Danio rerio: one gene and its partners. The protein of the gene in region 1 purifies or fractionates together with the protein of each later gene. This does not show direct contact. Links are inferred from orthologs where the notes say so. Each region holds a gene or a part of one and is shown on either strand. Other genes may lie near its edges.

The links.
Region 2: the proteins of dcaf7 (region 1) and ambra1a purify together in Homo sapiens (affinity purification with mass spectrometry; 3 studies listed by BioGRID and IntAct, with this or other methods). This does not show direct contact. The link is inferred for Danio rerio from reciprocal best matches to the Homo sapiens genes DCAF7 and AMBRA1.
Region 3: the proteins of dcaf7 (region 1) and pfdn4 purify together in Homo sapiens (affinity purification with mass spectrometry; 3 studies listed by BioGRID and IntAct, with this or other methods). This does not show direct contact. The link is inferred for Danio rerio from reciprocal best matches to the Homo sapiens genes DCAF7 and PFDN4.
Region 4: the proteins of dcaf7 (region 1) and cct5 purify together in Homo sapiens (affinity purification with mass spectrometry; 4 studies listed by BioGRID and IntAct, counting the BioPlex papers as one, with this or other methods). This does not show direct contact. The link is inferred for Danio rerio from reciprocal best matches to the Homo sapiens genes DCAF7 and CCT5.
Region 5: the proteins of dcaf7 (region 1) and znf703 purify together in Homo sapiens (co-immunoprecipitation; 5 studies listed by BioGRID and IntAct, counting the BioPlex papers as one, with this or other methods). This does not show direct contact. The link is inferred for Danio rerio from reciprocal best matches to the Homo sapiens genes DCAF7 and ZNF703.
Region 6: the proteins of dcaf7 (region 1) and pfdn5 purify together in Homo sapiens (affinity purification with mass spectrometry; 3 studies listed by BioGRID and IntAct, with this or other methods). This does not show direct contact. The link is inferred for Danio rerio from reciprocal best matches to the Homo sapiens genes DCAF7 and PFDN5.

What each region holds. Positions count from the first base shown.
Region 1 is NC_133178.1:30,506,885-30,511,039, reverse strand, and holds the start of dcaf7 (DDB1- and CUL4-associated factor 7), read right to left. Parts: upstream 2,801-4,155; 5' UTR 2,657-2,800; coding exon 2,519-2,656; intron 814-2,518; coding exon 655-813; intron 1-654. UniProt on the Homo sapiens protein: Involved in craniofacial development. Acts upstream of the EDN1 pathway and is required for formation of the upper jaw equivalent, the palatoquadrate. The activity required for EDN1 pathway function differs between the first and second arches.
Region 2 is NC_133182.1:39,574,568-39,578,692, reverse strand, and holds the start of ambra1a (activating molecule in BECN1-regulated autophagy protein 1A), read left to right. Parts: upstream 1-1,325; 5' UTR 1,326-1,529; intron 1,530-4,125. Other genes in the region: acp2 (lysosomal acid phosphatase precursor), read right to left, coding at 676-759. UniProt on the Homo sapiens protein: Substrate-recognition component of a DCX (DDB1-CUL4-X-box) E3 ubiquitin-protein ligase complex involved in cell cycle control and autophagy.
Region 3 is NC_133198.1:41,416,738-41,419,963, reverse strand, and holds the end of pfdn4 (prefoldin subunit 4), read left to right. Parts: intron 1-1,804; exon of another isoform or gene 1,805-2,038; coding exon 2,039-2,170; 3' UTR 2,171-2,726; downstream 2,727-3,226. UniProt on the Homo sapiens protein: Binds specifically to cytosolic chaperonin (c-CPN) and transfers target proteins to it. Binds to nascent polypeptide chain and promotes folding in an environment in which there are many competing pathways for nonnative proteins.
Region 4 is NC_133199.1:20,773,283-20,777,549, forward strand, and holds the start of cct5 (T-complex protein 1 subunit epsilon), read left to right. Parts: upstream 1-1,467; 5' UTR 1,468-1,581; coding exon 1,582-1,686; intron 1,687-2,438; coding exon 2,439-2,499; intron 2,500-2,578; coding exon 2,579-2,743; intron 2,744-4,267. UniProt on the Homo sapiens protein: Component of the chaperonin-containing T-complex (TRiC), a molecular chaperone complex that assists the folding of actin, tubulin and other proteins upon ATP hydrolysis.
Region 5 is NC_133180.1:24,988,491-24,992,705, reverse strand, and holds the start of znf703 (zinc finger protein 703), read left to right. Parts: upstream 1-1,415; 5' UTR 1,416-1,815; coding exon 1,816-2,073; intron 2,074-2,827; coding exon 2,828-4,215. UniProt on the Homo sapiens protein: Transcriptional corepressor which does not bind directly to DNA and may regulate transcription through recruitment of histone deacetylases to gene promoters. Regulates cell adhesion, migration and proliferation.
Region 6 is NC_133181.1:42,215,187-42,219,471, reverse strand, and holds the start of pfdn5 (prefoldin subunit 5), read left to right. Parts: upstream 1-1,485; 5' UTR 1,486-1,491; coding exon 1,492-1,557; intron 1,558-2,595; coding exon 2,596-2,698; intron 2,699-2,774; coding exon 2,775-2,806; intron 2,807-2,938; coding exon 2,939-3,013; intron 3,014-3,097; coding exon 3,098-3,203; intron 3,204-4,285. UniProt on the Homo sapiens protein: Binds specifically to cytosolic chaperonin (c-CPN) and transfers target proteins to it. Binds to nascent polypeptide chain and promotes folding in an environment in which there are many competing pathways for nonnative proteins.

The DNA of each region.
Region 1 (4,155 bases):
TCAAGCTGGAATCAAATCATAATTGACTCCATTTATCTCTTAATACACATTCCTGGTCTTATCGTGAACAACAGTAATCCCTGATATATCCTGAACAAAGCTCCACTGGCTTGTAAGAGATTAACATAACGCCAGCCTACAGTCTTCATTAAGTGTCAACAAACACTCAGTTTACTCGGACCCTTTAAAGCTGTAGTATGAGGCCTGGAACAGTTTAGTTTGTGCTGCAGCCATGTTGAGAAGACTTGATCCACTATGCAATCACTTCCAAAAAAAAAAAAACTAGGAATTTGCAAGGGATATGGTAGAACTGACACTATTGTTTTATCAGTGTGTATACAAGAGCTGAAATTCAGATATGGTCATATATGATTTAAATTCAAAAGTACACTGTTGTAAACAGAATAAGCCATTTGACTAATCAGAACAAGGTAGACTCTTGGAAAGAAGGGGTTTAGAGAGATTGAATCTTTGAACAGACTGATTCAGGTGCTTCATGTAAGACAAAATACTGCTTTGCATATTATGACATGACAGGTGTATTCTTGATCTAGGATGAACTTATTATAGAAGACCTCCAAAACAAAAAGAGCAAACTTTAATATTGCATAATAGGGGCACTTCAGAAACTGTGCACGTGCTCCTCCTGCATACCCTCCATATGCGCAGATAGTCTCCACTGGTTGCCAGTAGGTCTGGATAGACGCCTTTGGTGTCTGGGATCCACATGATCTTGGTGGTGGGGTACGGATGATCAAAAGTGTTTCTGCATACAAACTCTGAGCTCTCCTCCTCAAGACCAACCAGCTGGACCTGAACATCACAAAACAAATAGCATGATGTCATAAGTTTCTGACAGCATGAAAGTAGCACCTTTTTCATTTTTATAGACAATTATATATTTTCCCACTTTATTTTTGTGATCATTTTTGGTTGTGACTGCAAGCACCATATGTTGTGCCAAAAATGTGTTTTTCGGTTACCTGTGGAGCAAATATCTAAAAAAAACCAAATATATTTACCTTCCATTTTCTGCTTTGAAGACTGCTGATTAAATTAGGGCTGGACGATATGGCACAAATGCAACCTCAATAGTTATTTTCAATATTAAACGATGACAATATATATTTTACGATACAAGTTGATAATGCTTCCAGATTTAAAAGAGTACCCCAACAATGACTGAAGCCACAAAATATTAGAGGGTCCATTAAATGGCATAACATATTTTCAGCTGATAAATTTTCAGTTAGAGTTGTGCGATTTGGGGAAAATACCCAATTGCAATTTTTTTGACAGACATTGCGATTTTATTTTTGATTTAATTTTGTAGTCAAGATTCAGCTCAATAATTTGTAAGTTGTGGCAACAACTCTGCGACATCTCTTCAAAATGACCTGTGTTTGTTCCGTGTCTGTGACTGAAACTAAAATATTCCCATATCACGACATGCTGTTTTTCTTTGATATGAATTCTTCTATTAATACTTCAGTTGCAGATGCCATATTCCCACCTTCCTGCATTTTGCTGTTTGTTTCCTTTTTATTGAGGGTTTTCGGCATAGTTTGGTTGTGCAATTCTGTTTAGGCAGAATGAAAGTGTGCTCACTCAATTGGCTAGTAAGACTGTCAAGCTACTACGACAGTTTCAGCGGGGGAAGCTAAATAATACTTCATATCGCAGCCTCTTGCGATTAACTTGTTGCAACGTTTCGAATTGCAATTCGATTAATCGCACAGCGATTTCAGTAGCCGAAAAAATGGTACAGCTCTAATATCATCAAACTTTCAGATTCCCATTGTGGCACATTTCTGCTGTGTGATTGGCTCTTAGATCAATATAGAGTAAAAAAGTCCAGTGCTTATCATTGTTATTTATATTATATAATATTGTGATTCGATATGATATTTATATAATATTATGTATTCATAACTACGTGTGTGGAGGGATGAATAGTGTTTGTAAGTATATGCTGTGAAGTGTACATGTGAGTGGTAGATTTTTTTATGTGATAAAGCACAATAAAATGGCTGTATTTAAATGAATTCTTCTGGTCACTGACATGGGACTGATGATAAAAAAAGAGTCTATATTTATTTTCCCACAAAAAAACAACAACAAAAAAACAGTGGTAATGATTAAATGAAATGTCTAAAATTATTGCATTTTCTGACAATTATCATCAGGACTGGTGCGGGTGGTACAGAAAAATCTGTCAGTGAAAGGGTTTTGAAAGCCCTAGATATACTTCTATTATGAATTTTAGACAGACATTTTGTCCTCTACGAACCTATTCGTAACCTTTAATTCGCACACGCTAAATACAAGATACAAAATAACAGTCGCTTAAAATATACAATTATTAGTGTCTGTCATACATTTGCGCGTTAAAATTCCAACACTGTGGAATAACCTGCACCTTACATGTTTTTAGGCTACACACTTCACTATGTGAAATGATAGCGTGTGTCATAAGATCAGACATAAAGCATAGTGTTGTGTGGCAGCAGGTGTTTACCTTGTTGTTGTACTCCTCGACGAAGCTGCCGAGCGCGAGCCGAAAGCGCTTGTCGGGTCTGACGCTCCAGTTCATAGCATAGACGGTCCATGGCGCCTCGTATTTGTAGATCTCTTTTCGTTTACCGTGCAACGACATGCTTCAATCCCAGTGATCGGCGACAGCTAGAGAGAATTAGGTCGTTAGGAGTAGCTTGATTCGACGGGATGTTTAAAAAAGGCTCTTACAGAGATAAATATGGTCTCGGGTTTGTGCAGCGCGAGACAAAGAGAACGTCATAACAATCCCTCTCCGCAACGGCCGCGAAAACGACGAGCTGCCTACAAAACAGCACGATTCCTGCCTAATAAAACACGCAAATAACCATCAAACATTCATAACTGCGTGTAGCTAAAGGGCCATGTTTTTCCTTAGTCCCGACGGTTTTAATTCTAACTTTAGAAAGCCCTAAATAGGCCCTACCGCTCAACGGCGCATTTGGTCTGAAAGATGTGTGTCTGCGTTTCAAAATAAAAGTCCCGGATAGAAAATGGGGGTTGAGCGCTGAGGCTATTTATAGATCCATGTTGCTAGTTGATTATTTTACTTGCGCATCATACTGGGCGGCATAATGTTTATGAAATTTTGATTAATTTTAGCTCCCTTCAGCCATGGAAATTAGCAAAGTGTAAGATTTTTTTTAAACTGCAAAAACACTAATCGCAGTATGAAAATGTAAAATAAGAGTGAATATCAAATAGAGAATAGAGAAATATGAATAAAAATCTGAAATCTGATTTAAACAGAAGTGATTAGTAAAAATAATGTAAAAAAATGCTTGTAAACATATTTCATTCTCACTTTAAATTTATTTGAGACATTTCAGTGTCCTAATTATCTTTGAACCTTTGAAACCTGCAAAAACACTAAATAGATTAAAATGCAAACATAAATGATAAAATATATAAATAAATTAGTAAATAAATAAATAAATTCTTCATAAATAAAACATTACATAAATTAATATGCAAATATATAAATAAATGAATAAATAAATCCATAAATTATTGCATAAATAAAACATTAAATAAACAACATTTGCAAATTAATAAATGAATATAAATAATATATAATACGAATATAAATAAATGTATATAAAAAATCCACAATTGTTTTTGCATATATAAATATTTAAATAGAACGAGCATGCAAATAATTATATAAATTACGGGAAAAAAAGAAAATGCTAAACTGAAAGTTTATTCATCCCCTCTCTCAAACGTTTATTAGAAAAAAACTTTCAGTGTAGCATTTTTATATTCCCCTCCTGTAATTTATTTAATTATTTGCTTGCCTGCACTATTAACTATTTATATATTTATTTATGCAGAAATCTATGGATTTATTTACTCCTTTATTTATACATTTGCGTATTTATTTATTTATTGTTTTTGTAGGTTTCGCCCTCCATAAAATTGTAATAATAACAATACTATAAATAAATGCACAAATTCCTCCATAAATAAAACAATAAATAAATAAATATTTAGATAAATGAATAAATATACAAATTCCTGCATAAATAAAACAATAAATAAATTATATATATATATATATATATATATATATATATATATATATATATATATATATATATA
Region 2 (4,125 bases), on another chromosome or scaffold:
ATGGTTGACATTTGCATGGAATTGCTCCATAAATTACCTTGCAGACACTTTTTCTATCTTTATCCATTAACGTTACAAATGGATTCAGTACAAGTTAGCCCTTGGTTTACCAATTCGTTCATATGACAGACATTCTGTAATAGGCTTGCAGTTGCATTACTAATTTCAGAGATCTTTCTCACCTAAAAGCCAAGCAATAATGTTACCCTTACTAAAAAAAATAGGTGACATTTAACCTACAAAGGTGTTTTATTGCTTTGACGAAAATGGGAGGTGAAATGAAGCAAAACAACATGTCATGTGACGGTCTGCTCTTCAGATTGCTCAATCTGTACTTTAATGAGGAATTAATAAAGATCAAGTCGAAAACTACATTTTACCGAAATTACAGAAAATGCGAAAATCTGTAGAAAGCAAAACATTCGAGAGAGAAACACGAATTTAGACATCAACTAACAGGTAATTACAGAAAGGCACACAGCTGAATAACAGAAATATGACACCCCTAAAGAAACACACGAGGCACATAATAAAAGGTCTGACTGAGACTTCGCGTTGTCAATGTTTTTAAAACGAAAGGTTTTGTAAATAGCTTCAGGCCCCGGTTATTCAGTTACTGTCTGTTACATACTTAACGTTTGTTTTTTTAAAGGACAGATGTATTATTAAACTCACCACAGTGACAAACTTTAGCGTCCTCTCTCCACTGGAAAGACTGAAAGCAAAGAGAAAGGCAACAATCACAAAACAGGAATCCATACTTGCGGACGAGCGGATGAGGCACAGTACAGTAACCTCATTGAAAGATCGTTGCCTGGCTGTCGTGGCTGATAAACACAAGACGAGCTGCAAGCTTTTCCGGGTAACGGAGAGCTGCCATTGGTCAATGTGTTCAGCAGCTTCAAAAACACGAGCAGTGATTGGCTCTCACGAACGGAGAAGGACTTGGAGCAAAACAGCAAACAATAGTTGATTGTTTTCTCTTTGTTTAAGGTGCATGACTTCTCCGTCATTTGAAAAAAAAATTCTGAATGAAAATCCCCTCTTTTGTTATTCAATTGGTATATATGTTTGACTTAGTTTATGTGTAATCTAACATTTAGCAAGACTGAATATGTGAATAAAAATTATTTGATCACTTAACTGCCCATGATCAAATATAAATATAGGACAACGGAATGTGAATGTAAATATAACTTGGCTGTTTAGCACAAGATTTCATCTTGACTGGTTCATCTGTGTTTTTTTTTTTGACAGATCAACCTGATTGGCTGGCTCATGAACGATGTTTTCGGTAATTGATTATGAAGGATCTGTGCTCTACTGGCTTTGTCTGGACTCGTTTTGGCAGGACACACACAGCAACAAATCTAAAGTACACACGACCCACTTTTGGGGGAAAATAAAAACATTACAAAAATATTCCTTAAAGAAAATCTGAAATATTGCTAAAGTTTCACCTAACGTACTTCCGCTACTACATATCTACAATTTCATGGATTAAAATCGGACAAAAATAAGAGGAAAAGGTAGGCCGAACCTGAGACCATGAGAGGTGTTGTTTTAAATTTATACTGAACAAAAGACTCCTAATTTAAACACTATGTAATTGTGTGGATTGATACTTTGCCTCGCATGTAAATTAGCTTGCTAACTGCTAAATGTTAAAGCTGTAAAGTTAATTTCTTTATTAAAAAGTAATTATTGTAATTTAACGTTAACGTTATAACCTTCACTAGTTGCTTTATTCTGTGACAATGAATTTACTGTAATGAGTGACACTCCTTTTATTGCAGGTTAAACTTAACTTATATATGTCTAACGTTAGCTGGAGTCAAACATGAGCTATCTTTGACCTGACGTGCTATAGTGTCACAAAACGTGTAAAGCTTTTCCACGTGTTTTAACCCTGTTATTTTGGTAATTGCATTCCTGTAAATAATAACTACGTATTTATAGTAGTCTTTGCATTTTTGATAGTTAAACTATGCATTGTTTACCCATGTAATAGTTTTTGTTTGTTTTATTTTTTAATTTATTAATTTTTATTTACTGCTTAATTCTTTATTAGTAGAACTGAAATGGAAATATGGTTAGCTTTTATTGTAGTTAGACTCGTCATTGTGTATTGTGTATTAGGTATTGAGGTCTCTGTTCAGTTAGATTGTTGTGTGAATATCTTTTAATGTTGTTACTATTTCAATTTTTTAAGTAAAGCATACACTTTAAAAGTATGATTGTGTTCAGTATTATGTTGTTTGAAGAAAAATACACAGTGTTCATTAACTAGAATTAAAAGTAAATTTCAAATGTATTCAATGTTACTTTTGCATAGCTAAAAAATAACAAAAAATAAATTACCATAGTTAACTTGACATACTTTAAGTTGACTTAAAGCCTGTGTGGAAAACCTTATGAAAGAAAAAGTAAACTTTTTGTTTAATTTATGTTTAATTAATGATTTTTTTCTCTGTCAAGGTGTTGGCTATGAAAGATGAAACCTTTATTTTTTTTAAATCTATAAATTAATAAATAAATACACAAATATATAATAAACGAGTAAATGTATATAAAAATCCACAAATTCCTGCATAACTCAATCAGGCAGGTACAAAATTTAATAAATTACACGAATGTTACGGGAATAAGAAAATGGTAAACTGAAAGCTCCACCCCCCGCCCCCTCCCAAATGTTTATTCATTCTTGATTGTAGTTATGTATTTACCTTTCCTCAGTAAACATGCTAATGAGACTGGTTCTGTCAATCATCAGAAAGTGGTCTTCATGCCATTATTGGTTGATCGTTAGAAAACATTTGCTTTTCATTAAAAAAAAAAAAAACTATAATTTTTTTTTACTGGCTTCTGATGATTGACTGCTCTATTAATTATTTATACATTTATTTATGCAGAAAGTTTATATATATACACATTTTTTTTGCTTATTTATTGTTTTATTTATGCATGAATTTATGGATTTATTTACTCATTTATTTGCGTATTTATTTATTGTTTTTGCGTCCTCCATAGTTGACTAATTCATCATAAGACAGGGTTTATACAGTCATGGAAAACCTGGAAAAGTCATGGAATTTTGACATGGCATTTTCCAGGCTTGGAAAAGTTATGAAGATTAGTTTAACAAATATCAGTATACTTAAATTAGGGCTGCGCGATATTGGAACAATCTGACATTACAATATTTTGTATTTCTGTGATATGTTGCGACGAGAATATAATTTCACCAGATGATTTAAAAGTTTTATTTTTGATTGATTGGGGTGGGGGGGGGGGGGGGGGGGGGGGTTGTTAGAGAGTGAATCCCGAATAATATATAACAAATAAATTACAAGCATAGATAAATAAAACATAGTCAAGATAAAAGTGAATTATAGTTTTCAGGTATTCACTATTTCGGTACAGATATTGAATAATTAACACTGCATAGTCTTCGTTCTATATTATTTAATCTTTAATTTAGTTACCAAAAAATTTCTTTTGGCCCGATTTTTAAAAAATTGAAATATTGAAATGTTTAACAGTCACAGGTCTTAAAGGGACAGTTTACTCAAAGATTAAAATGTACTTACTATTTACTCACACTTCAATTGTTTCAATACTATATGAGTTATTAGGTTATATTATTTTTGTCTTTATTTAAAAAAAAGAAAGCTCATAAATGTTTAAAACAAGTGAAGGGTGTAATAAAAATGGTAAGTAATTTTTGAGTGAACGATCTCTTTAAAATGCATACAGATGATAAACTTTTAGTTCATTTTGATTAAACTCTAAATTAAACTATAATCCCATCCCAATATTGCATATCCTGCGATGTGACTATTGTGAATGCACACATTACTTTATCAATGCTAAAACAATATATTGTGCAGCCCTAACTTGAATATAGGATAGTTGTTTTCTTTTCTGTCCTTGGCCAAAATATTGTTCTCACATTGTTAGTGCTGTGCAAGCTTTATCAAAAAAAATCAATAAAAAAACTAATTTAAACAAATTAGTTAGTTGCGTGTTCTATAATATGCTGTTATAAATTTGAACGTTATTGTTTTTCTTATTATTAATCATTTATTTTTAGATATTACATGAAATATTATGTCATGAAAATGT
Region 3 (3,226 bases), on another chromosome or scaffold:
TATTTCTGCAAACGTGGCGAGTGCTTTATTTTAACACGAGAGCCCATTCATGTACGCAAATCACTAAAACAGATATGCGAGCTCTTAAATAGGCTTTTTTTCAAATGAACTGCAAGTCCTCTCATGATCGCCTGTGTGCTCAGATTGAATACAATCGCGATCTTTCCACTATTAAAGTAGACATTATTTATCTTTGCTCCTTGACTAAATTTAGTCAAAAGTATTTAAAGTTATGAAGTATTTAGAAATAGATTGATGCATGATCGATAACAATGCTAATGGTCTTCTTATTTGGCTGTGTTGTCAAGTGAAACTTTAGCAAAGGTGGAGCTTTTTTGTTTCTTTACGACAAAAGAATTATGCTGGAAATGTTTCTGGATGAGGTATATGTGTGATTTATACATTTAGCTGTATTCTGATCTGTCCTAAAGCATTACAGATCAAAGCAATCCATTGTTACTTATTGTTTATTTATCAAAATTTACAATAAGACTCTTAAAGCACTGCTTTGATAAATGTATTGTTGTCACATTTCAAATACCTCAAGTAAAATAAAGTCATTTGTTTTATTTTTTACTGACAGTGTACTTGTATTTTTTTTACGTTTCTATTTTAGATTAAGATCAAGTGTAAAATAAAATCTACATGTGATGTACAGCTATTGAAGAAACAAATTTGCCATATTGTAAAGAAAAATAGTGTAAAATATGTAAATAAAAGGCTAAATAAAAATCTTTTTACCATATACTTTAACCTTTCAAAGCTTAAAAATATATTTTTTAAAAAATGGGCAAAAAGTGTCTCTATGGCCTTAAAGATTATTTGGTAGTTTTACCAGTGCTATTGAAAAAGATTAATTGTCATGAAAGGAAAAATCGACCATACTTCCTTTGTTAGTGCATATTCCTATACACGTAGCTTTGGGATTTAAGCAATCAAACCATTAAATCAGGTTTACACTTAAAAAAAGTGATTTCATAATGAAAATCTGATTTTTTATTCAAAAGTAACCAACTAGTACTTTTTAAAAGAGTACTTTGTACTTTTACCAAATATTAGCATTATTTACTAAAAATGTTGTTATTTTAGCAGTGCAATAGTATTTTTACTTGAGTACAAAAAAGATTTCACAAGCATTTAGTGCAGGTTTATTATATTATTAATATATGATTAATAAATATTATTTTTAATGTTTTTTATTTGTATCTATTCCTATGCAATATTTTATGGGTTGCATACAGAATACATTTCAGGTCTTCAATACATAGCATGTCAGTCTTGAAAAAAAAGAAGGTTCTGGAATTCATTTTCATTAGGCTGTGCCTGTATGAACCCTGTCATATACATTTAACATATATTTCAAGATTTGTCTGAAAGTGTAGCAATATGACATATAGCCTATATTTATAAGGTCCAAGCAGCATTTCCAGCTTTTGATGAATAGGCTACTATGAATACTTCAGATTTAAGTACAGCAGTTTTCTTTTTACTTTTTAAGAACAGCGCCATTTTTTAATGAATTTTTAAAAGCACATTTTAACTAAAACTTTTTTTTTATCTGCAAGCACAGTTAATGTTCAGACTATTTAAAATGTTTAAAGTGACTGACAATAATACATATTCTTAATAATAGGAAGTAATCTGCATCGTTTTTAAACTGTGCACACCTGTAGCTGCTTAATTAGGCCTACGACGCTATTTTTTAATACTGGTTAAAAAAATAGCGTCGTAAGGTGGTACTTGGAGAGACGATTTTTTTCTAAGGTGGTACTTGGTGAAAAAAGTTTGAGAACCACTGGTCTAGGGGGTCGAATCTTTTTTCACAATCTTTTTTCGATTAATTGTGCAGCTCTAGGCTGTAACATAAAAAATGTGGAAAAAGTGAAGCGCTATGAATACTTTCCGGATAAGTAAATAAACAAGTTTCCAGATAAATGGCCTCTACTTGTCTTTGCTTTGCAGAAACAATTCTTTTTTCAATTTATACTAGCCCAATGTCTGCTTTGAACCCTGTTTGCTGATCTCCTGTTATCCACAGGAAGCTCTGCAGGAAGAGATCAAGGCTCTGGAAGGTCGCGTCTCATCCATACAGGGGGTCCTGGGAGATTTAAAGGTTCAATTATACGCCAAGTTTGGAAACAACATCAACTTAGAGGCGGACGAGAGCTGAAACCTTTAGCTGGTGGACTTGACCTCATAGACTGTCCATCTCTAACAGGACAGGACATTTCTACAAATCTTGTCCGGTTTACTCCAGTGATGTCTGTTCAGTTTCACATCTTGTTACGTTTAATCAAGTTCTTGAGGTGTTGCATCCAGGTGGTTTTTGGGGGACGAATGAAATGTCCAGAATGAGAGAATTGAAAGGCACTGATGTCAAAATAAAAAAAAGAAGAAACATTTTTTTTTATGAGTTCCTTCAATTTGGGTTCAGTATTGAGGTGAATGTTTCTTGTTGGCACAGTTATAGTGTTTTGAGCAAATAGCAAAGGATGCATGCAGTGCTTAATTTGTAAATGAACAATTTCCAGAACAATACCAGGATATAAAAGTTACTGTGACCGGCACCCACCACAATTTCAGGTTTCCAGGAACATGACATCACTAAACGGTGATAGCACCAATGGTGATCAGTTTACTAATACCACTGACTTTCATTTCACTTCACTATTATGTGACAAGTGGAAAAAAAAATTAAAATACTCACCGTCTAATCTTCAAGAACAGCCCACGGTTACCTCTTCCATCCTGTTTTTTGCCTGACTTGATTGCTTTGCTTCTGTCTCCCGCTATCCTGATCCAGGGATGCAGTTCCATCTTCCAGAGATCTTTTTTTAATCAGGCTCATTATTAGATTTACTGTTTTAAAAACATACTTCCTCTTTGCCATTTTGAAAATACAAATATAATTTAGGTAGGCCACTATCCCATTATTTATTTTTAAAACAGTAATCATCAACCAATGAGAGTGACTGTAAATGCAAGAAAGCTGACTGGTCAAAAATATTGTTGAGGGCCAATAGTAAAACATGCCTTCTGCTTTAACTTTGGCTTGGTGACGACCTTTATGTGTGTGGGTGTACACAATCCACACAGCGTTGCTTTGTGTTTTTCACTGGCACTCATTCACAATCTCTCACACACACAGATGCAGGTATTCACTAAGCACATGTTAATGCCGGATGACTCAAAATATTACTGGAAGGGAATTTTCCGGAACAGGATC
Region 4 (4,267 bases), on another chromosome or scaffold:
AATTGAGAAATGAATTGAAAAACACAAAATGATCCACATTAAAAATCTGATTTATATATCTGTTTTTATACATTTCTAGTTTTTATTTGATGAATAATTAAAAAAAAAAAAGCATAACTGCAGATATCAACCATATTTAGTCAACTGAAATCAAGTAAATTTAATGAAGTATATTTTTACTTAATCACTTTATAAATCTCATGATTGCTCAAACTCTGTCCACATTCATATCTACAGAATTTCTAAAATAAACAGTACTAAAAAGGTTTTTAAAACAAGTAAATTAATTTGACAGGCATAAACCACTTTCAAATGCATGTTACTTGTAGAAATGGTTTGTCAATAAGCATACTGGCACGTTTATCAACAAAAACCAATCCTAAATGTAGAGGGCAAATGTGGAAAAGCAAATATGCCATTACTTGATGAGGGTTTATTATTTTTAGAACATTATCATAATTTAACATACTAAACACAAGTATTATTTATATGCTTTTAAACAATAATTAGTTAATTATTAAAAATTATTAATAATTATTATTCAATAAAATATATTATTCAAAACATAAATAAATTCCAAAAGAAGGTTGCATAGCATATGATCATTTATGTTCAATTAACCTTTTTTTTCATTGAAATGTTTATTTATGAGCTTCGTTTTTTTAAAGGAACCTCTGTATTTACATTTTGTGATTGTGAGAAGTTCTTTTAGTTTATTACACGTATGTACTGTATGATATAATGAAACAATTTACTTTAAATATGACCTAATCTGTGTACGTTTGTAATGTAAAAAGAATCATTATAATATACAGGTGCAAACGGAAATCAAGCAACCCTGATCATGTGAATGTTGCATAAGTTTTATAAGAGATATCCAAAAAGATATCAAAACAAGCTGTAGCTTCACCAAGTCTAACTTTAAAGTCATGTAGACCTCACAAAGACACTTCAAAAACAAATGTCGGTCACAAATGTAAAACGTAAATGATGGAGAGAGAAAAAAGTCACCTTGCTTTTGCAAATAACAACACAAACAGCCTCTTCGGTCATGTAACATACTGAAATCCACACTGGTGTGCTGTCAGAAGCATGAACGGGAGGAACAGGTAATCGGAAATTACGTTACCAACGACGAGCACATGGCCTTTCTCAAATACACAAGTTGTACGTGTGCACATACACAAATCAATTTTGTAACGTCTATTTGTTAGTCAATCTGCATGAATTATAAATCTGTACCCGCACTCGCGTTATTTGTTGTCGTTATCGCGAGAATGGAATAAACCATTAATATGCTTCAATTTAAAAAAATTATTTAAAGATTCGTTAATTGCTTTTTCTCCTTCATAATTGTCTTAAATGTTTAATATTGTTATTTAATTAGGGATTAAATGGTAATGTAATGTACAAAAATGTGGATGTTTTAACATTGTCAACTTGGTTTGGTCCGTCCCTCCCCGAGATTCTTCCAGAACTAGCCGGCAGATCCGCGCGGTGAGGTGCGCAGCTAGAGGATTAAATTCTCTAGTATAACATCACTTTTCATAACTGTGCATTTCTTTGGGGTGGAAATTAAACATGTCCGCGCTTGGGACTCTCGCCTTCGATGAATATGGAAGGCCTTTCATCATCATAAAGGACCAGGACAAGAAATCTCGCTTGACTGGCCTGGAAGCACTGAAGGTAACGTTACAAAAGCTAACGGGCTAATGGGCTATAACGGAGATTTTAATCATATCTGTAATCCAGAATACCGCATTTACTGTATACTGTAGATTGATTCTTTATGAAAACGTACTTCTGCAGTCTGACATGTTAAGAATGCATTCAGTTATTGCACATTTATTTGTCTAACGTGATCAACAATGTGCGCATGTCAAGGGATGGTCCATGTGCTTCCTCTAGTCTAGTCTAAAGACGTCGAGTCATAATGCGCAATGCCTTCATTCATTCATCAGACATGTCTTCATCACATTTTATTTGTGGCAATATACTTCAGTTGAATGTTGTTAATAAATAAGTAATGATGATAGCTATCACTCTACTTCCCCCAATTGTTTGATTGCATAAAGAATTGCAAAAAGCCAAACTTTTCTAAACGGACAGGTGCATGTTTTTGTTGTGTTTTTTGGGGGCTTGCAGTGTCTTGCCTTGTTTTATAATGATAGTTTCAGTTCTATTATTTGACAAAAATCCTATAAAGAGGATTGGGTTGTTATTTGAGACACGCCTTACTAACAAATTTTTAGTTTATATATACATACATACATATACATTAAATTTATATAAGATATTCTACCAGAAATGCACATTATCTTTCCCTTAAAACCGTAAATTGCCATTCTTGCCTACCCATTTGAGCCTCCCAAGCCCAAAACCAAGCATAAGCTTGGCGTGGCATCTACTGACATCAATGTTATTTCTGTTCTCTTCAGTCTCACATTCTTGCAGCAAAAGCAGTTGCTAACACCCTGAGAACATCGCTAGGTCCAAATGGTATGTTTTTAATTTTGCATGTACTCTTCCTAGTTTATTTCATGCTGTTTTTTTTAATGCTGGTAAATGTTCTTTACAGGACTTGACAAGATGATGGTGGATAAGGATGGTGAGGTGACCGTGACCAATGATGGTGCGACGATCCTCAGCATGATGGATGTGGACCATCAGATTGCCAAGCTCATGGTTGAGCTCTCCAAGTCTCAAGATGATGAAATTGGAGATGGAACCACTGGTGTTGTTGGTGAGCTTAGCTTGATATTCTTCTTCTCCCCTTTTAAAACACAACCACAACACTAGCAAGAGCATTTTCTTTCTGTCTTTGTTTAAATGCATTGATTTGCTCGTATATAAACATGGATAAATGTACAGCCTTACAAATACATTGAAATGCACATTAGAAAAAATTTAAAAATCCTCTTTTCCAAGCTGTGTGTACATTTTATGTGCCATTACAAAAATGAGCATGTGTGCATACTGTTCTGGAGATGATATGCTATGGGAAATGACCCAGCTTATACAAAATCTAATAATAAAAGGTCCTTTTACAGATCTAAGTATGATATATATGCTTTACTTTAATATGATATATGGATGCTATTTACAATATTTATACTTTATGTACAATATACAGCTGAAGTCAGAATTATTAGTTCCCCTGAATTATTAGCCCCCCTGTTTATTTTTTTGCCCAATTTTTGTTTAACAGAGATAAAATTTCTAACACCACAATTTCTAACAAATCTCTAACACATTTCTAAACAATAGTTTTAATAACTCAATTCTAATAACGGATTTATTTTATCTTTGCCATGATGACAGTAAATAATATTATACTAGATATTTTTCAAGACACTTCTGTACAGCTTAAAGTGACATTTAAATGCTTAACTTGGTTAATTAGGTTAACTAGGCAGGTTAGGGTAATTAAGCAAGTTAGTGTATAATGATGGTTTGTTCTGTAGAGTATTAAAACAAAATATAGCTTTAAGGGGCTAATAATATTGACCTTAAAATATTTTTTTTTTAATTAAAAACTGTTTTTATCCTAGCCGAAATAAATCAAACATGACTTTCTCCAAAAGAAAAAAATATCAAACACTGAAAATTTCCTTGCTCTGTTCATCATTTAGTAAATAGAAAAAAAAAAGAAAAATTCAAAGGGGGGCTAATGATTCTGACTTCATATCTGAATATTATAGTAAAGCATATACAGTTAATCATTTCTTGTCAGGCTTCTAAAACTGCTAAACATTTTTCTAGACTGGACACTTTAATGGGGGAAAATGTTCTAAGATATAAATGTCACCCTAATTATTTTTTAATGAATTATTCTTACTTGTTTTGTGTTTACTCGTTATAGCATGAAGGACTTTAGTAATTAAATTAGTACAAGGCTAAATTGAATGTATAAGTAGGTGTATGTAGGTTTATACGCAAGACGTACTGTTTTGCTGTTTGAATTAAATTGTCAAGTAATTGATAAAAACCACTGGTGAAATAATATTGTAATCTTACTCCATATAGTGGAGAATGAAAAAATCATATTTAATGTTTTGTTTTCTCTTATTGCTGCATGTAGTTGTCAATATGTAATATGTTACTTTTATTACTGTTACTGATGTGACAAGAAATAAATCTTAAATAATGGTAAAAAAAAAAAAATAAAAACAATAAAATTGAGCAGGGTACATTTAAATGTAGAGAGAAAGAACAATTTAAAGCTGTATCACACTTTTACTATTGTAATGCTTGACATGTTGATTTC
Region 5 (4,215 bases), on another chromosome or scaffold:
AGAAATACATTTTTCACTAATTAATGTAGTATGATGAGGGGTATTTTGTATTATAGATGAAAAACGCTATAAAAATAGCTTTAATGCATTGATGATAAATCATTGTGCTTTCTAAATTTCAAACCAGACTTGTGATTTCAGATGATTTAATTGAAATCTTGTCTGGCCAGTGCACTTCAAAAGCACTAATGTTTATAAATTAGGTTTTATTTTTGTTTGTGTGCAGCTCTCTGAGCGCATTCGACCACATGAGCATTTACACTTTGAAAGCAATCCTGTCTAATGTGTTTTCAACTGCCTTTGAAAGTGGCTGAAAGTGGACAAGCTCACAACATTTCAGATTTAGCAATGTCAACTCATGATTGGATCGACAAAAAAAATTTAAAAATAATAATAATAGCAGGCAAAAATAGTAGCAAATAGGCATGGGATAATAACCCTTTACCGCAGTTTGGAAAAGTCAAGGTTTTAAAACCGCAAACAAAAAATCTGTTATACCTTTCCTTAAGTGTTTTTTTTACATGTTTTACAGTTATTTAGTTTTTTAAGGGCAGCAGTAGCTTCAGCAAAAAAGGATCCTCCAAATCAAAAGCTACTAGTCAGCACATGATTCAGCAAACAGCTGAGATACAAATTGCTTATAAACCAACATCCAGCATCTGAACAGTGCAGTGGCTTACTTACTTCATACTCAAAGTAAAGACAGATATCCAAAGATGCCTTTTCAGGTTGTAAAGAAATCTGTGTTGTGTTAACTAATAAATAGCAGAAGTTAATGATTCATTTTAATTATTTAGCTTGACATGTTTACAATTCTAAAACATTTTAAATGTTGGTAAAATAAAATATATTGTGTTCAAGGAATAAAAAGTTGTTGGTATTTTTCACAGAACATATTTTAGAGCAGTAATCACAATAACGTCACCGTGAAACCTTTGTTATCGTGACCATTAGTGTTATCATGACCATTAGAATCTTATACCAGCCCATGCCTATTAGCAAACAAATAAACAGTGTAAAGTATAATAGAGTTGAAGATTGCAATAGATTGTGAAAACAAACAAGATACTATTGATTATACTATAGTTTTTATTATAACTATAAGTGTTTACATTCAGCAGTAGTATTTAAATGTAAAACTACAAAATAAATACCAGTAAAAAATGGCAATAATATATCAAATAAATGGTAAACCGGCATGCCACAGCCTTTGCGTGTTTTGACATACAACGATCAAACACTTGGCCAGCGGGTCCGGAGCGAGTCAGAGGAAAGAGGAGGACAGTCTCCGCCTCTGTTGTGCCTACCCACTTATTACCGATGCAGATGCATGTGATTGGACGGCGGCTGAGCGCTTTGAAGTTCTCCCTCAGATCTCCCGTACGAGCACAGTGTATATGCGTACGGAGGGTGTAGTGAACACACACCGGAGAGCGCACGGACCAACGGAATGCCATTATTTGACACGATATTCTGCCTTGTTGTTTGTTTCTTTTTATTTTAAGACAAGTACACAATACTTCTCATATTTGTCAAGTCGTCGTTTGCGCGTAAAGGACTCGCGATCCTGCTGGGGTTTCGAGCAACACCGATTCGGTGACGGAACGATGTGGAGACGGAGTGTACGTTCTTCTTCATAGACACTGTAACAGCTCTCTTTCTCTGGACTACAGGCAGAGCTGATGTTTCAACTGGATATTTCACGGGATATAATGTCGTTTGGCTCTATACTGAAAACACTGGATATCTCTAAATGAAAACTGAACACCCGCCCCGTCGCTGCCCTCGACAGGTCTCTGATCCGCCCCGATCCAGATGAGCGAACTGCCTCCTGGATTTGCAGTCAGTCCACGGAACCAGCAGACCTTTAAAAGTCATTACATTACCAACGATAGTTCGCCCACTTGTTTAGGACTCCAGGTCGACTCGATCGCCTCACTGCCGTACCGTGATCCCGCGCGTCAGGAGAAAAGGCTGCCTATACGGATTCTCAAAATGTTGACCGCTCACACAAGTCACATACTTCACCCAGAGTATCTCCAGCCGCTCAGCTCGGCGCCCGTGAGCATTGAGGTACGACTTCTAAACCATTTGTTTCTTACTTCTGCGAAGTAAAAATATATACATTACATTTGTATGTGTTAGAGTTGCGTGTTTGTCCTAGTTTCTATAAAGCGAAAGGGTGTTCTCTTTATTTTGTGCCCGAGTCGTGTAGTACACGCAATATTTTGCGTCAACGTTTTTTAGCTCTAAGCTCCATGTTGCGCGGCTCGTTTTAATATGTAATTCGGATTTAGCCGAAAGATCCTGAAAGCGATTCAGCGGCAGTTTGAAGAAATAGTCCGGATTTAGATGAGGCCGTGCTCTGGCAACATTTTAAGGTTTCACATTTCCTTAATCGCTACTGACGTGCGCCTTTACTGCTCTTAGGTGGTTAAAGCTTCCAGCATCTACGTGCTTTTTTGGCACACAAATGGAACTTTAAAAAAGTAAATTGTGCAATCTTTTTAATAACCTGTATAAAACTCTGCATGCTCGGCACACTTTGAGTGCTGCAAAAACTACAACAATATGTCAAGTGATTTAATTCACCCTTGACATGCAAATTAACATCATTTAAAATAAAATTTAATATCCATGCGAGTTTTTTATGATGATGATGTCATTTATAAATAATCCAAGCGTAAATAGAATTATTGCATCTTCCTTGAAATATGACATATCACTGAGGGCATGCCAAAAAATTGGTCTATAAATGAAGTGTCATTTTGTTGGTGGTAAGAAAACCAAAATCATTCATTTAAAATTTCTTCTTTTTTTCCCATAGCTGGATGCTAAAAAGAGTCCCCTAGCATTGCTGGCTCAGACCTGCTCTCAGATCGGAAAGCCAGATCCTCCTCCCTCCTCTAAACTGGGATCCCTCTCCTCCAGCAGCCATGGAGACAAGGACAGCCGCTCCAGCAGCTCTAGCCTGAAGTCTGGGGAGCATCAGAACCTAGATGACAAGTCCAGCTTTAAGCCTTACTCTAAAACTGGATCAGAATGCCGAAAGGAGGGTGCTGGGATCAACAGCTCAGCAGATAAAGCGGGGTTCAGAGTGCCAAATGGCAGTTCTTCATCTGTGACGTGCACGTCTTTACCTCCGCATGCCCCATCTCCACGGGCCAGCTCCCCTCAGCAAACATCTGGACAGTCACACACACACCGGCAGTCTCAGTCTCCTCTTTCACAGAAAACAGCACATCTACAAACCACCCACATGGACTCCAAAGCTGCAGGTTCAGACCCAGGGAATGACAGCAGCAGCAGTGGTAGTGATCGCAATGGCAAAAAAGATTCGGACCACAATAAATCAAGCCTGGACGTTGTACAAATCGCCAACTCCAGTCATGCACGTGCTAGTGTGAACTCTAGCAGTGCCAGTTCCTCCAGCAGTCCTCAACCGGACAGTAAGACTGACTCCCAACCCCCTCAGCCCAGCCTGGGCACAGGCCACATCGCCCCTGTGTCACCCTTCAAACCAGGCCACTCCGTTTTTCCCCTCCCGTCCTCCACCATGGGCTACCACGGCTCCATTGTCGGGGCCTATACCGGCTATCCATCTCAGTTTGTGCCTGGGTTGGATCCAGCGAAATCTAGTTTAGGGATGGGTGTTCCAGGAAAGCACCCCAGCTCCAGTCCTCTCACAGGGGCCTCACCTCCCTCTTTCATGCAGGGCTTGTGCAGGGACCCATATTGCCTGACCTACCCCAATGCACCCCACCTCGGGGGCAGCAACTGCTCTTCCTGCGTTCACGATCCATCATCAGCCCTTAAGTCTGGCTTTCCTCTAATGTATCCCACCCATCACCTCCACTCACTCCACCCCAGTTCTCTGTCCTCTAGTGCCACCTCATCTCTGTCCCATCCTCTGTATACCTACGGTTTCATGCTGCCCAATGAAACACTCCCTCACGCCTGTAACTGGGTCTCAGTGGGTGGCCCATGTGACAAACGCTTTGCCACCTCAGAGGAACTCCTGGCCCATTTGCGTACACACACGGCTCTGCCAGGTGTGGATGGGAAGCTGCTTTCGGGCTATCCTTCTTCTGTTTCCTCTGCTGCTTCCTGCCACCTCCACTTGCCTCCTCCTAGCAGCCCAGGGGCACTTCCAAGTTCCCTGTCCCTGCGAGGGTCACCTGGTCTAGGTTTGGCAAGGTATCACCCCTACGGGAA
Region 6 (4,285 bases), on another chromosome or scaffold:
TTTTTTAAAAGGTTAAAAAAAATCCAGTCCACGATTACTTTTTGTATTGAAAATACGTCATTTTGTGTGTTTTTCCACCAATCAGTGACAGATTTATGAATTTGGTAATTAGGAATTTAAACTGTAATTTCCTAAACAGTTTAGTAGTTTTGATCGGGACTGAGGTTGATTAACAGATTTATGGGAAAACATATTTATCTGATGCATTTTTACAGCAGTTTAAATTAGTGGAGGTTTTCATCCCAAACATAACAAAAGGGTAGCAAAATTGCCCAGAGTGTATCGTTAAGTTCTTTAAAAATGTCAAAGCATTTTCCAAAAACGTGTCAAAATTAAATTTGTCGCCAAAGTCGTTCTGCTAGTTGAAACAGAAAAAGTTGACCAAATGAAGACACAAAATCACCCCAGAGTGGATGAAAACACCCTCAACAGCACACAGGGGTTAACTGAAATGAGGGATGTGCTAGTAAAGGAGTACACATGGAGGAAAAACATGAATTGGTCATCTGTCACTGCAGACTGATGGATAAACCGACAGGCAACAAGGACTGTAAACACTGAAATCGGTGTTCCCATAAGTCTTCAAAATGTCAGGGACAGCGTTTTCAGAGACGTACAAATATCTGACGTACCTGATCTGATGTGATTCTTATGTGCTGAACGGCCAGGTTTAATGGTGAATCTGAAAAAATGAAATATTAATTTAAACAAGTGTTACGGACTTCCTGTCATGAGTTAGTGTTTCAGATGAGATTTTCTGCTTTTGTAAAATACACACTACTCCTGTTGGAGAAAACTCAGGACAATACCAAACACATAAAGGCAAACACACACATACACACACAAACATTAATGAATGCCCATGAGCTTTATAAGGATTTGAGCTGTGTACATTTTCTTCACTTTTTAACTGGTGTGTATTTTTAGTGTTCAATGTCTACTGAAATACAAACCTATTCTAATACTTAACAATGAGGCTTAAAATAGTTGAAATTTGTGCACCACATGCATTGACAATGAATAGTTTGTTAATTGATTAATAAGGATTTACTCATGTTTACATACTAATCAAATACATTCCCTACTGAAAAATCAGTTGACCAGCCTGGTTTTAGAGGGGTTTTGGCCATTTCCAGGCTAGTTTCCAGCCATTTCCAGCCTGGTCTTAGCTGGTCAGGCTGGAAAATGACCAGCCAAATCCAACTAAAACCAGCTTGCCCAGCCTGGTTTAAGCTGGATATAGCTGGTTTTGGCTGGACTCCCAGCTTGGCTAGGCTGGTCAAGCTGGTTTTAGCTGGTCATCTCCCTTTTTTTTTAAGGTAATGTTAATACATGCTGTATAAATGCACTGTTAGTTTATTTAGTCGACGTTTTATTTGTTAAAGTATAACAAATGACTGTAGTGTGTAATGGAAAAAAATCAATGGTAAAAGTCCTTTTAGTTGCGTCCGCTTGACCCGGAAGTTTTCCTCACCCTCTTTTATTGTCAACATGGCGGTGAATCTCACTGAATTGTCTCTTCCACAATTAGAAGGCTTGAAAACTCAGCTTGATCAGGTAAATTGTGTTAAAAATAAAAAACATCATCGTTTCGTATGTCCGAGTAGCATCAGGTGCTGCTGTTTTTCTGTCAGTGAATTAATTTACTGACGGGCTGCGGTTGTCATGCTGTCTGTGCGCGTGCTGCTGCTGCTGGTAATGCGGAAAAAAAGCCCTCTATGATTGTCCACATGGCTGCATTTATTCCGTATGACAGAAAATGAGATGCAGAATGACTTTATCGACGTTCACTTGCATTGTATGTGAATGGTGTCTCAGTCAGTTCTCACTAAACACAACTTGGTTTTATTTTAACGAGTTCACAGTTTGAAATATATTTTGGTACCAAGTCTATAATCTGTATAAGATTAATTTAAAAGACTAATTTTGTTTTTCTGTGAGTAAACTTTTGAAGTTTACATGTGTCCTGATTATCTGTTTTATTTTGACCGTCATATTTATTTTACTGTATTTTACAGAAGACCCCAACAAAAATGTCATAACAATAGTTTATATATATTAAAAATTCTGGGCAGCCATATTTTTAGACCAAGATTATTTTGATGGCATTTAACTATTTAAAGGTTGAACTGTAGCTCCCAAATTCTAATTATTTTTCTTTTTTTAAACATGCATAATTTGTCACTATCCTTCAAACCCTTTATTTTACTAATTTTTACTTTTAAGGTTTAAAACCTTGACTATTCCAAACCTTGCCGGTTTACCTTGCAAACAGTTATCGCCCCATACCTAGTACAGAATAAGTACTATGTTTTTCCCATTTTTAAATAAATATATATGTTGCTCTGAATTACCCTGACATTATTTCCTAAATTATTATTATTGTTAATTATTTGATAGATTTTCACTCATTTTTTGATTTTATTTTTACAAAAGTTATTTGAAACATTTAAGTTAACACTTTGCTTGCGTTCAGTGTGCTTTCTGTGAATATAAATGCAATAATGTTAATTTACTTTGAGACACCAAAAAGGGACATCTCAAGGTAGATTTACACGTTATTTTGTATAAATTGCTTAAAAATGTGTTTTCTAGGAAACAGAGTTCCTGTCATCGTCTATAGCTCAGCTGAAAGTCGTCCAAACAAAATATGTGGAGGCCAAAGACAGTTTGAATGTGCTTAACAAGAGCAATGAAGGTGACTTTTAAAACTCTTTTATGACGTTTTTAGCTAAATCTGACGTTTGCTAATTTTTTTTTACTTTTTCTCTCAGGTAAAGAACTACTCGTCCCTCTCACCAGTTCTGTATCCTCTAAACAGCTGAGTTATAAATGAGTTCTGATTGATTTATGCCACATAAGAAAGTCACACAGACAGTTTGATGTGTGTGTAATTAATTTGCAGTGGTCCGTTATTCCCTTAACCTCAGTCATGTAGATGTATGTACCTGGAAAGCTGCATGATGTGGATCATGTGTTAGTGGATGTGGGAACAGGTTATTTTGTGGAGAAGGTGAGTAAGAATCAGTCTAGTAGTTTTAGTATATGTAAAAATGTCAAAACTGAGTAAATCACATTGCCTTTTCTGTCTTTTCAGAATGTAGAGGACGGCAAAGAGTTCTTTAAACGCAAAATCGACTTCCTTACTAAACAAATTGAAAAGATTCAGCCTGCTCTTCAAGAAAAATATGCCATGAAACAAGGTGATTTTCTTGTCTTTTGAAAAACATGTTTCTTATGTTCACCATAGCTGATAAAAATACAGTACATTTTTATTGTATTTCTTTTTTCACTATTTTCAAGTAAGCCTGTCACAATAATCAATATAACGACTGAGCGTACAACACATGGACATGACCTCAATCATTTTTGGTGATGCAATATAAATCACACATACATAAAGACCAATTCTGGCAATATTTTAGGTGTTTGTGCAACATCTCTATCTATTGGAGATGTCAGTATGGTTAAAAATCACAATTTTATTTACTATAGATTACTGTCGTATATTTTCATGTGGGTGTCTAACAACTGAAAATAGATCTGGGGTCCGTTCTTCGTACCTCGCTTAAATGATATAAGATGATTTGGCAGATCCTGGATCTTTTCATCTTGATAACTGATCTCTGGCTAATTTGGTTCTTCAAACAAGTTTGCGAATCCGATTAGAATGTCTGGATAAACTGATCTGAGATCGCTGCATGTGTTGTGAAGGACAGATCCATCGATCCTCGAAATCATGATCAGCAATGCAACGATTGGCTGACGGCACAGCAGCGTAATGACATCATCTGAATAATATTCAATTATCCATGTGAGCAAAATTACATCAAACAAGCAGTAAACGGTTTGTTGTGAGCTGCAGGCTTAACACTTTCATGTGTCAAGAGTATTCATTATGTATTTTAAAGCATATCAATGTATTTAGTTCTACATTTAGAGAAGATTTTCTTTATTATAGTAGCTTAGGCCTACTCAAGTTTTTTTTAATTGGAGTAAGGAATAACTGTATGAATTAATTTTCCATCAAAAAAGCATTTTGATAAAGGTGAAGGTGTCTGCAACTTTTGTGAAGCAACATATCACCGGCATATTGGCGATCACAACATGTGCATGACTGCATAAATCAGTATCCTTTTTTTAAAAAAGTTGAATATTGTGCATTTGCATTGTATTTAAAAAGTTCATATCAATACATTTTCTCTTTGAACCACCAGGTGGCAGTCTTTGTACTTATTTCGGAGTGCAGATTGCATAAGTTTTATTTATCTATATATTTCTTAAA